Linked DNA regions of Cricetulus griseus. Each later gene encodes a partner of the first gene's protein in a complex. Links are inferred from orthologs where the notes say so. Each region holds a gene or a part of one and is shown on either strand. Other genes may lie near its edges.

Evidence for each region.
Region 2: the proteins of Crb1 (region 1) and Mpp5 are in contact, whole or in part, in a crystal structure (PDB 4UU5), measured with the Homo sapiens proteins. The link is inferred for Cricetulus griseus from reciprocal best matches to the Homo sapiens genes CRB1 and PALS1. Residues at the interface, in NP_957705.1 of Homo sapiens: Ala1401, Met1402, Glu1403, Arg1404, Leu1405, Ile1406; in NP_071919.2 of Homo sapiens: Lys261, Pro266, Leu267, Gly268, Ala269, Thr270, Val271, Arg272, Asn273, Ser281, Arg282, Val284, Val314, Asn315, Val317, Phe318, Leu321.

Annotation. Positions count from the first base shown.
Region 1 is NC_048598.1:49,995,057-49,999,638, forward strand, and holds the start of Crb1 (protein crumbs homolog 1), read left to right. Parts: upstream 1-1,755; coding exon 1,756-1,832; intron 1,833-3,733; coding exon 3,734-3,786; intron 3,787-4,582. UniProt on the Homo sapiens protein: Plays a role in photoreceptor morphogenesis in the retina. May maintain cell polarization and adhesion.
Region 2 is NC_048598.1:124,811,295-124,815,114, reverse strand, and holds part of Mpp5 (MAGUK p55 subfamily member 5), read left to right. Parts: intron 1-1,006; coding exon 1,007-1,174; intron 1,175-2,157; coding exon 2,158-2,360; intron 2,361-3,820. UniProt on the Homo sapiens protein: Plays a role in tight junction biogenesis and in the establishment of cell polarity in epithelial cells.

The DNA.
Region 1 (4,582 bases):
TATTTTCAAAAGTTACTCCACACCAAAGCTAGCACACCCCTTAGAAATGAGTTCTCTAAGTCCTTGACTATGTCCCACTAGTCTGAAAAAACCAAAAATGAATTAATAAATCCAGGAAAAACTTGTGCCTCTGAGCAATGTGAACCCAAATAAGTGTGCATATACTATTGGGACAGTAGTAGTGGGGAGTTTAGTTTGACTAAATATGGGCATATTAAAATTGCTATTTTTGACCCAAATATGACACATAATAGTTCCAGCCATTTCCCCCTTCCCATCTTTCTGATGGCAGAGAATGAATTTGATGCTTAAGTTCAGTATCAATAAAAATGAATGGCAGACATGATTAGAGAGTCTTAAATTCTAAGAAAAGACTGAGAAAGGGATAACAATGGAATACTTATGTGAAAATGTTTTTAATGAGTATTAATCATTACTTCTTCACACATGGCTTGTATGTAGTGATTATAGTTGGTGACCATATACAAGTGCATGTTTGGTATAAAGACATCATTAAAGAAGCATGGCTTGCAAAATCCATACTCAGGAAATAACTGTAGAGTGTATATTGGGATAAATAGGTGCTGAGGACAATACAACACATCTTTTTCTCTGTATGGTTAGTTAGGTCATTTCACAACCTCATATATAGCATTTATCTTGGGCTTAGTATGCTTGCCCAGGATTAAGATCTAATGACTTAATCTCCATAAAAAAACAGACAAATTGTCCTGCTCAGGTTTCGAAGAGGAGGAGACAGAAGCTTCGCAAGCAGAGACAGACTTGGTGCTGTCCCACTGTCCCCTTGGCTTCACCTTCTTTATTGGTTAATAGAAAAGTTAATGAAGTGGTGATATTAAACAATACCTTGATTTTTCAGATAATCGAATGTTCAAAAAGCATTCAGTTATCTTCTTCTTTGGTAAGTAGATAGAAGACCAGGACAGCTTAAAGAATAAATGCTGTCGACAGCAACCTCTGAAAAATTAAACGGTTCCCTCCTGGAAAGATTCCTTCCCATTCCACCAGGAGAATAAATACGATGCACTTCACAACTAGCTAAATTGCCAAGGTGCCTACTTTCCATATAAATTTAATTACAGAATAATACACTGACATACACATGCAAAGAAGTACGAGTCTTTAATATCTTTACAACTGGTGAAATTAATTCCTACTTTTCAACAAATGTAATTATTTCATTTTAAAATGGCAATGGGAAATGCAAAAATGGTTACTTGTAAAAATTATGAGAAATGCTTTTCCCCCCTTCTGCCATTGTTCTCAGTCCTCGGGACTCCTGAAGGGCATCTCCAAGGAAGAGGGGGCAAGTCCTGTTGGACCGGAAGCAAGGGCCGCGTCCGCAGTGCCTCAATTGGACCAGGCCTACTGCTGATGTGTTCACCCGGATCACTCAAGACATTTTCCTTGAAGGAATTCTGCTGTTCTTAGAGGGACAAGAAAAGAAAGGAAGGAAGAAAAGGAAATTTAAAGCTCTCTGATGAAGAATTTCTTAAGAGCGTCAGTAGATGGCGAACTTCACTGCAAGGAAAGGATGCTATAGCCTCTGTCTTGTTCTGAGCATTAACCGCGCAGTGAATTTTCCTACTCTCAGTTAGAAAGCTATTATGAAAGGCAAATTCCCTATGCCCGTTTTCCAGGTAACTAAATCCCAGTGATAAATTTAAATCTTATTAATGAGTCGGACTCTAAAGCGTAATAATTATTAAAATTGTTTTCATTTTCACCGAGAGAATGCAGTGTGCCTGGCTTGCACAGGTGACTTTTTTCACCAAGATTCGTGGAAAAGTTGGAGTGGCCATGATCCTTAGGTCATAGACACCCATTATAAATTTTTGTTTTAGTTTTGTTTCCTTAGCTGCTTATTTAACAATTTAATCAATTTGTTCATCTCAAGAAAGAGTTAGGTTAGCCAGACAGAGTGACACATGTCTATTATCCCCAAGAGTTCAAGTCTGAAGGCTGCCTAGGTGAGATCGTGCCAAATAAAATATAGTAAATTGAAAATATTTTATAAATTAGAAAAACCAGACTTTTCTTTCTGACAGATAATTTTCTCATTAGTCAGTACATGTATGCTGAACTTCATCTGTAAGAAAGCCTGTTAGCATCTCAGGACACATCCACAAACCTACATGGTAGACAGTGTTAATGGCACCAGGCACAAGGAGAGCAAAATGTGCCACTGTAGCCTCACTAAAAGCGCATTTCAATGTACAGAGAAACAGAACAATGAGGGACAGGGTGTGGACTGTATTTAAATCCATCTGCTCTGCTTTGCAAATATTTTATCACATGTATTTCAGTAATCCCTTCAGAATCCCCAGATCTGTGATGAAGCACAAACCTGCTTCTCATGCCAGGGGTGTACACTCCAGGACAAAGTTCTTGAACCACATCTAAGAATTTCTTTTTGTCTTCATTTATATTTCCTGGATGTTTCTTTCATCTTTACATACGCAAAGTACTGGCATCCTAACTGGGCGTGGTTGTGTACACCTTTAAGCCCTGCACACCAAAGGTAGAAACAGGTGGATCACTATGAGGCCAGCCAGTCTACACTAACGAGTTGCTGAATGGCCAGGACTATGTAGAGAGCCCCTGTTTCAAAACAAAGGAAAGCAAAGCAATATAAAACAAAACAAAATATTACTGTACCCTTCTGTGGCAAAATTGACTTAATTCTTCATCAGGTGTCTCTCTCTCTGTCTCTGTCTGTCTCTGTCTGTCTCTGTCTGTCTCTGTCTGTCTCTGTCTCTGTCTCTGTCTCTCTCTCTCTCTCTCTCTCTCTCTCTCTCTCTCTCTCTCACACACACACACACACACACACACACACACACACACACACACACCACTATACTCTATTGTTCCTTAAATCAGTTACAGTTTTATATTATTTTACAGCAAAGTGTTATTCTCATAAGTTGCGATTTTATTTTCTCCTCAATCTGTGTATTGATTTTCCTTCCCCACCTACACTGATTTCATCTCCTTTCTTGTACAGTTTTTAGCATTCTCCCAAAATTAATAGCAGTAAAAGTTGCTTTGAGTTTTACACTTGGTCTGTTTATTTGCATTTTTCTTCTCTGACACATCCCTCATGAGGCTCCACTTTCTGCTCTGCTTAATGTTGACACTGATGGCACATCTGGGGTGCTGGGATTTCTTTTTTTAGTAAAAATCTGCTTGTTTTTGTCCTGCTAGGTTTCTGACAAGATTTCCTAGAATGAATGTCTTCTTTTTTGGTTTCATCGTCATTTTCATTCATGGTCTCTCAGAATCTTCCTGAAAATCAAGTAAAAGAGGAAATTTGGAATCTTCTTTTTTTTCCCTCTATTTCTATTAAATCTGTAGTGTAGCTGGGCATATAATTCTTGTTTATAAATGACTTCCTCTACTGTGTGAATGTGTGTGTGTGTGTGTGTGTGTGTGTGTGTGTGTGTGTGTGTGCATGTTCCTGCACACATGTATGCACACACAAGCATGACAGTGTCTCACTACATACCTCAGGCTTGTTGCAAACTGAGATCTGCCTCCTTTTACCAAGTGTTAAAGGCAACATCACACAGAGCTCTCTCGGGAGCTCCAAAATGTTCTATATCCTCCAGCATGCAATGCTGCAGACATCAAACTGGAAATGCATCCAATCAACTTAGAGAGAGTCACAGACTTACTGCTCTTCTTCATTATTCCAATTGTGTTTCAAAAATAGATTCCTAGAACAGAGAAGGTTTCTGGAAGATGAAGTCTGCATCCCGGGCTTCAGTATATTTGCAGTGTGACATTATCTGTTTTAGTCTGTAAAGTGTGTGTAGCTATGCTGTGCTCCTGGAAGACTGAGAAATGCTGTGTGTGAAGACCTGGAATATTTAGTACAACATACCCCCATTAGATAAACAGTGATTTTATTTATTTTTCACTTTTCTATGCTTGGCTTTTTGGACCACAAAATGATGATGTTGATTAAACAGCTAGTCATAAATCAAGAAATGGGATTCATCTAAATGTATGTTTCAGTTAAGGCACTGATTTGTAGATGACTTTGTAAGTGATCTAGTATTTCCTAAAATCTTCCACAAAGAAGGTAGGCATTAGAATTCTGAGTAGCTCAAGGGATTAAAAGCATTTGACTCTCATTATCCAACTGCACTTAGACCCAAGGAAAGGAAGATGCAGAAGAAATGAGGTGAAGTCATTTTTGCTTTCTGTTCATGTGTGCCTGAGTGTGTGCATGTGTGTGCATGAATGTGCATGTGTGTGTTTGCATTGTGTACTTACATATGTGCATATGAGCCAGTGTGCTTATGGGCACACATGTACAGGTCAAAGACAACCTCAGATGTTATGACTTAGGTGCCATCCACGCTTTTTTGAGACAAGGGTTCTCATTGGCCTGCTACTCATTGATTAGACTAGGCTGACTGCTCAGTGAGTCCCAAGGATCCACCTCCCCATTGCTGGAATTCTAAGTGCTTGAGTTTTAAATATGGGTTCTGGGGATTGAACTTGGGTCTTCATGCTTGCAAGGCAAGCATTTTGCTGACTGGGGCATCTCCCTATC
Region 2 (3,820 bases), about 75 Mb from region 1:
AGGTAAATGTTCTACTTCTTAAAACAGACTCGAGTTGATCAGTATGGCCCTGAGAGCTTCTATACTGTAGGATACTTGGCAAATCTGAAGCCCCCAGATGTAGAATTGAGTAAGTCTGGGAATCAGAATGCCACCAGTGTGATTTTGACTTTGAGAAAAGCAGCAATTGTCAGTGCTGCTTAAAGTACTTGCTGTGCTCCATGGCAATAAATGATGTACTGTACTTTTGTCTCACAGTAAATTCCTTGAGGTTGCAGACTTACAAGATGAGATGGAAGTTCAGATATTAAAGTTTCTGCTTAAATTGTTACAGCTAATTAAACAGCTGAGTTAGAATTTTTAAATTCTAGCTCCAACTCTTATGGTGGATACTAGCAAGACTAAAAAGGTTCCCTCCCTTATGGAACTTCCTGGTGCCTCTTCCTCATAAGGGCTGCTAATTGCTTGCCTTTGTTCTGACTTGATAGCTTTGGCTTCATCTTATCTTAGGTTTTTAGGAGTGTTACCTCACTCCTTATAGCTTGTATTTTGAGTCATGATTCTGGATCAGAGGATAAATAGTATAAGTGTGATTTATTTTTAATTTGTGTAAGTACAGGAAAGCATTCTAGCACTCTCAGATATACTAGTCATAGCCACTGTGTGCGGATGTTTATCCATACTTGCTCTCCATTATATCTGATCCTAAAAATAACCCTATTAAGTGTAGTCTTTATGAAACTGACACATAAATATCCCCTAGCAGTCTCCTGTGTTACAGTGTTCACTTGCAAACTAGTTACTTTTAAATTAGACAGGGTGGTTTAAACACCTGTAATCTCAGCACTTGGGAGGCTAAGGCAGGAGGATTGCCACAAGTTTGAAGCTAGCTTGGGCTACGGAACAAGCTCCTGCCTCAAAAACAAGCACTCAACACTACCAACAAAACCTAGCTATTTTATGTAAGAAAGTATCTATGACATGGCATTAATTATATCTGAAATTTTCAACTCTTTCTTTCCCAAAGATTATGACAATGAAGAGATCTTAACATACGAGGAAATGTCACTTTACCATCAGCCAGCAAATAGGAAAAGACCTATTATCTTGATTGGTCCACAGAACTGCGGCCAGAATGAACTGCGTCAGAGACTCATGAACAAAGAAAAAGACCGCTTTGCATCTGCAGTCCCTCGTAAGTTTGGACACATTCCCATTTTCCTGTGCTTTTCTCAGAATCTTAACTACACAGGGAAAATTTCATTTTATTGAAACAATATTGTCAATGAAAGAGGAAATTTGTTTAACCAAACCTGATGGCAAGTTTTTATTAAAGGTAGTTCTTTTTGTTTGTTTTTGTTTTTTGAGACAGGATTTCTTTGTAGCTTAGGCGCCTGTTCTGGAACTTACTCTGTAGACCAGGCTGGCCTCAGACTCACAGACATCTATCTGCCTCTGTTTCCTGAATGATGGAATTAAAGGTGTGTGCCACCACCGCCCAGCTAAAGGTAGTCTTAAGGAATTAAAATTTTCCTAAGTGTATGGCACTAGGGGATTTTCTAAAAAATTTTTTTAGTTTGGGCCCCTTTCCCTATTACATAGGAAACCCAATTCCTGATTCTTTAAATACTGATGTTGAAGATAGAAATTTAGACCTAATTTCTGAATACAAATTTAAGATTACATAGTACCTACTCTTATGGAAATACATTTTAAGGAAAGATGACTTGGCAGTGTTTTACAGTATAAACCAAATGGATCAAGGTAACTAAGGTTAACTAGTAAGAGAGTATAAATAGTTTTTGTTCATGTCTCCATAGGAACAGTGCTAAACACACAGGCCCTTAACATTTCCTCAGTTCATTATTTCATAATTTGTGTTATAAAATAAAAATTCTTCCTGGATTGATCTTACTCCATGCTGATCCATGTTTACTAACATTATTATTAAAGATTTGTTTTATTTGTATGTATATTGGGAGAAGAGGGTATGCATGTTAGTGCACTTGCCTGTGGAGAGCAGAAGCAGGCTCCATGTACCCGGAGCTGTAGGCTACCTGATGAGAGTGTTAGGAACTGAGCTCAGGTCTTCTGGAAAGGCCAGAATATGCTCTTGACCTCCAGTCATTCCCTGCAGGCCCTTGTGTTCATTATTTTTATCTGATTGTGTTTGCTTAGATACAACTCGGAATAGGCGAGACCATGAAGTAGCTGGTAGAGATTACCACTTCGTTTCACGGCAAGCATTTGAAGCAGATATAGCAGCTGGCAAGTTCATTGAACATGGTGAATTTGAGAAAAATTTGTATGGAACCAGCATCGATTCTGTACGACAAGTGATCAACTCTGGCAAAATATGTCTTTTAAGTCTGCGAACACAGGTGAACTAGAATTGTGTTTTAGAGTGTTGAACTTGAGGACATGTTTTGTAAACTAATCTAGTAAAAACTGTATTTGGGTCCAAGAACGACAGATTATTTTAAGTTCTACTGCAATTTTCCATTCTTTTTGTAAAACCAAATATGTAGCTAAATCTCTTTCACTTTCAACATGTATATTTTTTTGAAACTAAAAATATAGTTAACTCTAGTGCTGACTATAAGTCTCTACCCTTTTCTGATCTGAGAAAAATTAGAAAATTCAAATGTTATTCTTAGTTTTTGTTTTGTTTTTTTTTAAGATTTTATTTATTTATTATGTATACAACATTCTGCTTCCATGTATATCTGCACACTAGAAGAGGGCACCAGATCTCATAATGGATGATTGTAAGCCACCATGTGGTTGCTGAGAATTGAACTCAGGAACCCTGGAAGAGCAGATGGTGCTCTTAACCTCTGAGCCATCACTCCCAGTTTTAAGGCCATTGTTTCAACCACTCACAAGTACCACAGTCAAGATTCTGCTATCTGAGTGATAAAACCTTAAATTTACCTATCTGACAGAGTGACCCAAACTTAAAATTACCAGCCAGTGCTTCTTAGATTTCTATTTTAAACATTACCTTTAGAAATTTGGGGCTTTGCGCCAGGTGTTGGTGGTGCAGGCCTTTAATCCCAGCACTCAGGAATTCGAGGCCAGCCTGGTCTCCAGAGCGAGTGCCAGGATAGGCTCCAAAGCTACACAGAGAAACCCTGTCTCGAAAAAACCAAAAAAAGAGAGAGAGAGGAGAGAGAGAGAGAGAGAGAGAGAGAGAGAGAGAGAGAAATTTGGGGCTTTAAAGATTTTGTTTGCTATGGAAATGTTTTGCCTTTTATAAAAGATTCAGCTTTAACATAGAACTCTTAATAAATGTGGCCAAGGGCTGGTGAGATGGCTGGTGATGAACAGCAGTTAAGAGCACTGACTGTTCTTCCAGAGGTCCTGAGTTCAATTCCCAGCAACCACATGGTGGCTCACAACCACCTTGAATGAGATCCGGTGCCCTCTGCTGGCATGCAGGCAATAAGAGTGTATACATAATAAATGAATAAAATTTAAAAAAAAAAAATGTGGCCAAATCTGTTGCTGATAGCAACTCAAGCCACAAAATCAGTGGCATTAAGTAGATGTACACAGACAGAAGTTGATTCTTAAATAGCTTCCCAAAATAGTGATTAGTTTTTTTCTTTATTCATTTTGGGTATGGGTTTTTAGAGGGCAGAGGCACTAGGTTTGTGCTATTTTAATCAAACATTTTATTAAGGAAACTTTTTTATTTCTTTTGGAATTCTTTATTTGGATTAACAAATATTACCATAAGACTTCAAATAGTTTAGCATACTAATGTTTCTTCACATAAGAAAGGGCATGTCTGTGTAATACTGCTTGTTAGAGTACTTTAGCTTGAGTGTGCACAGTT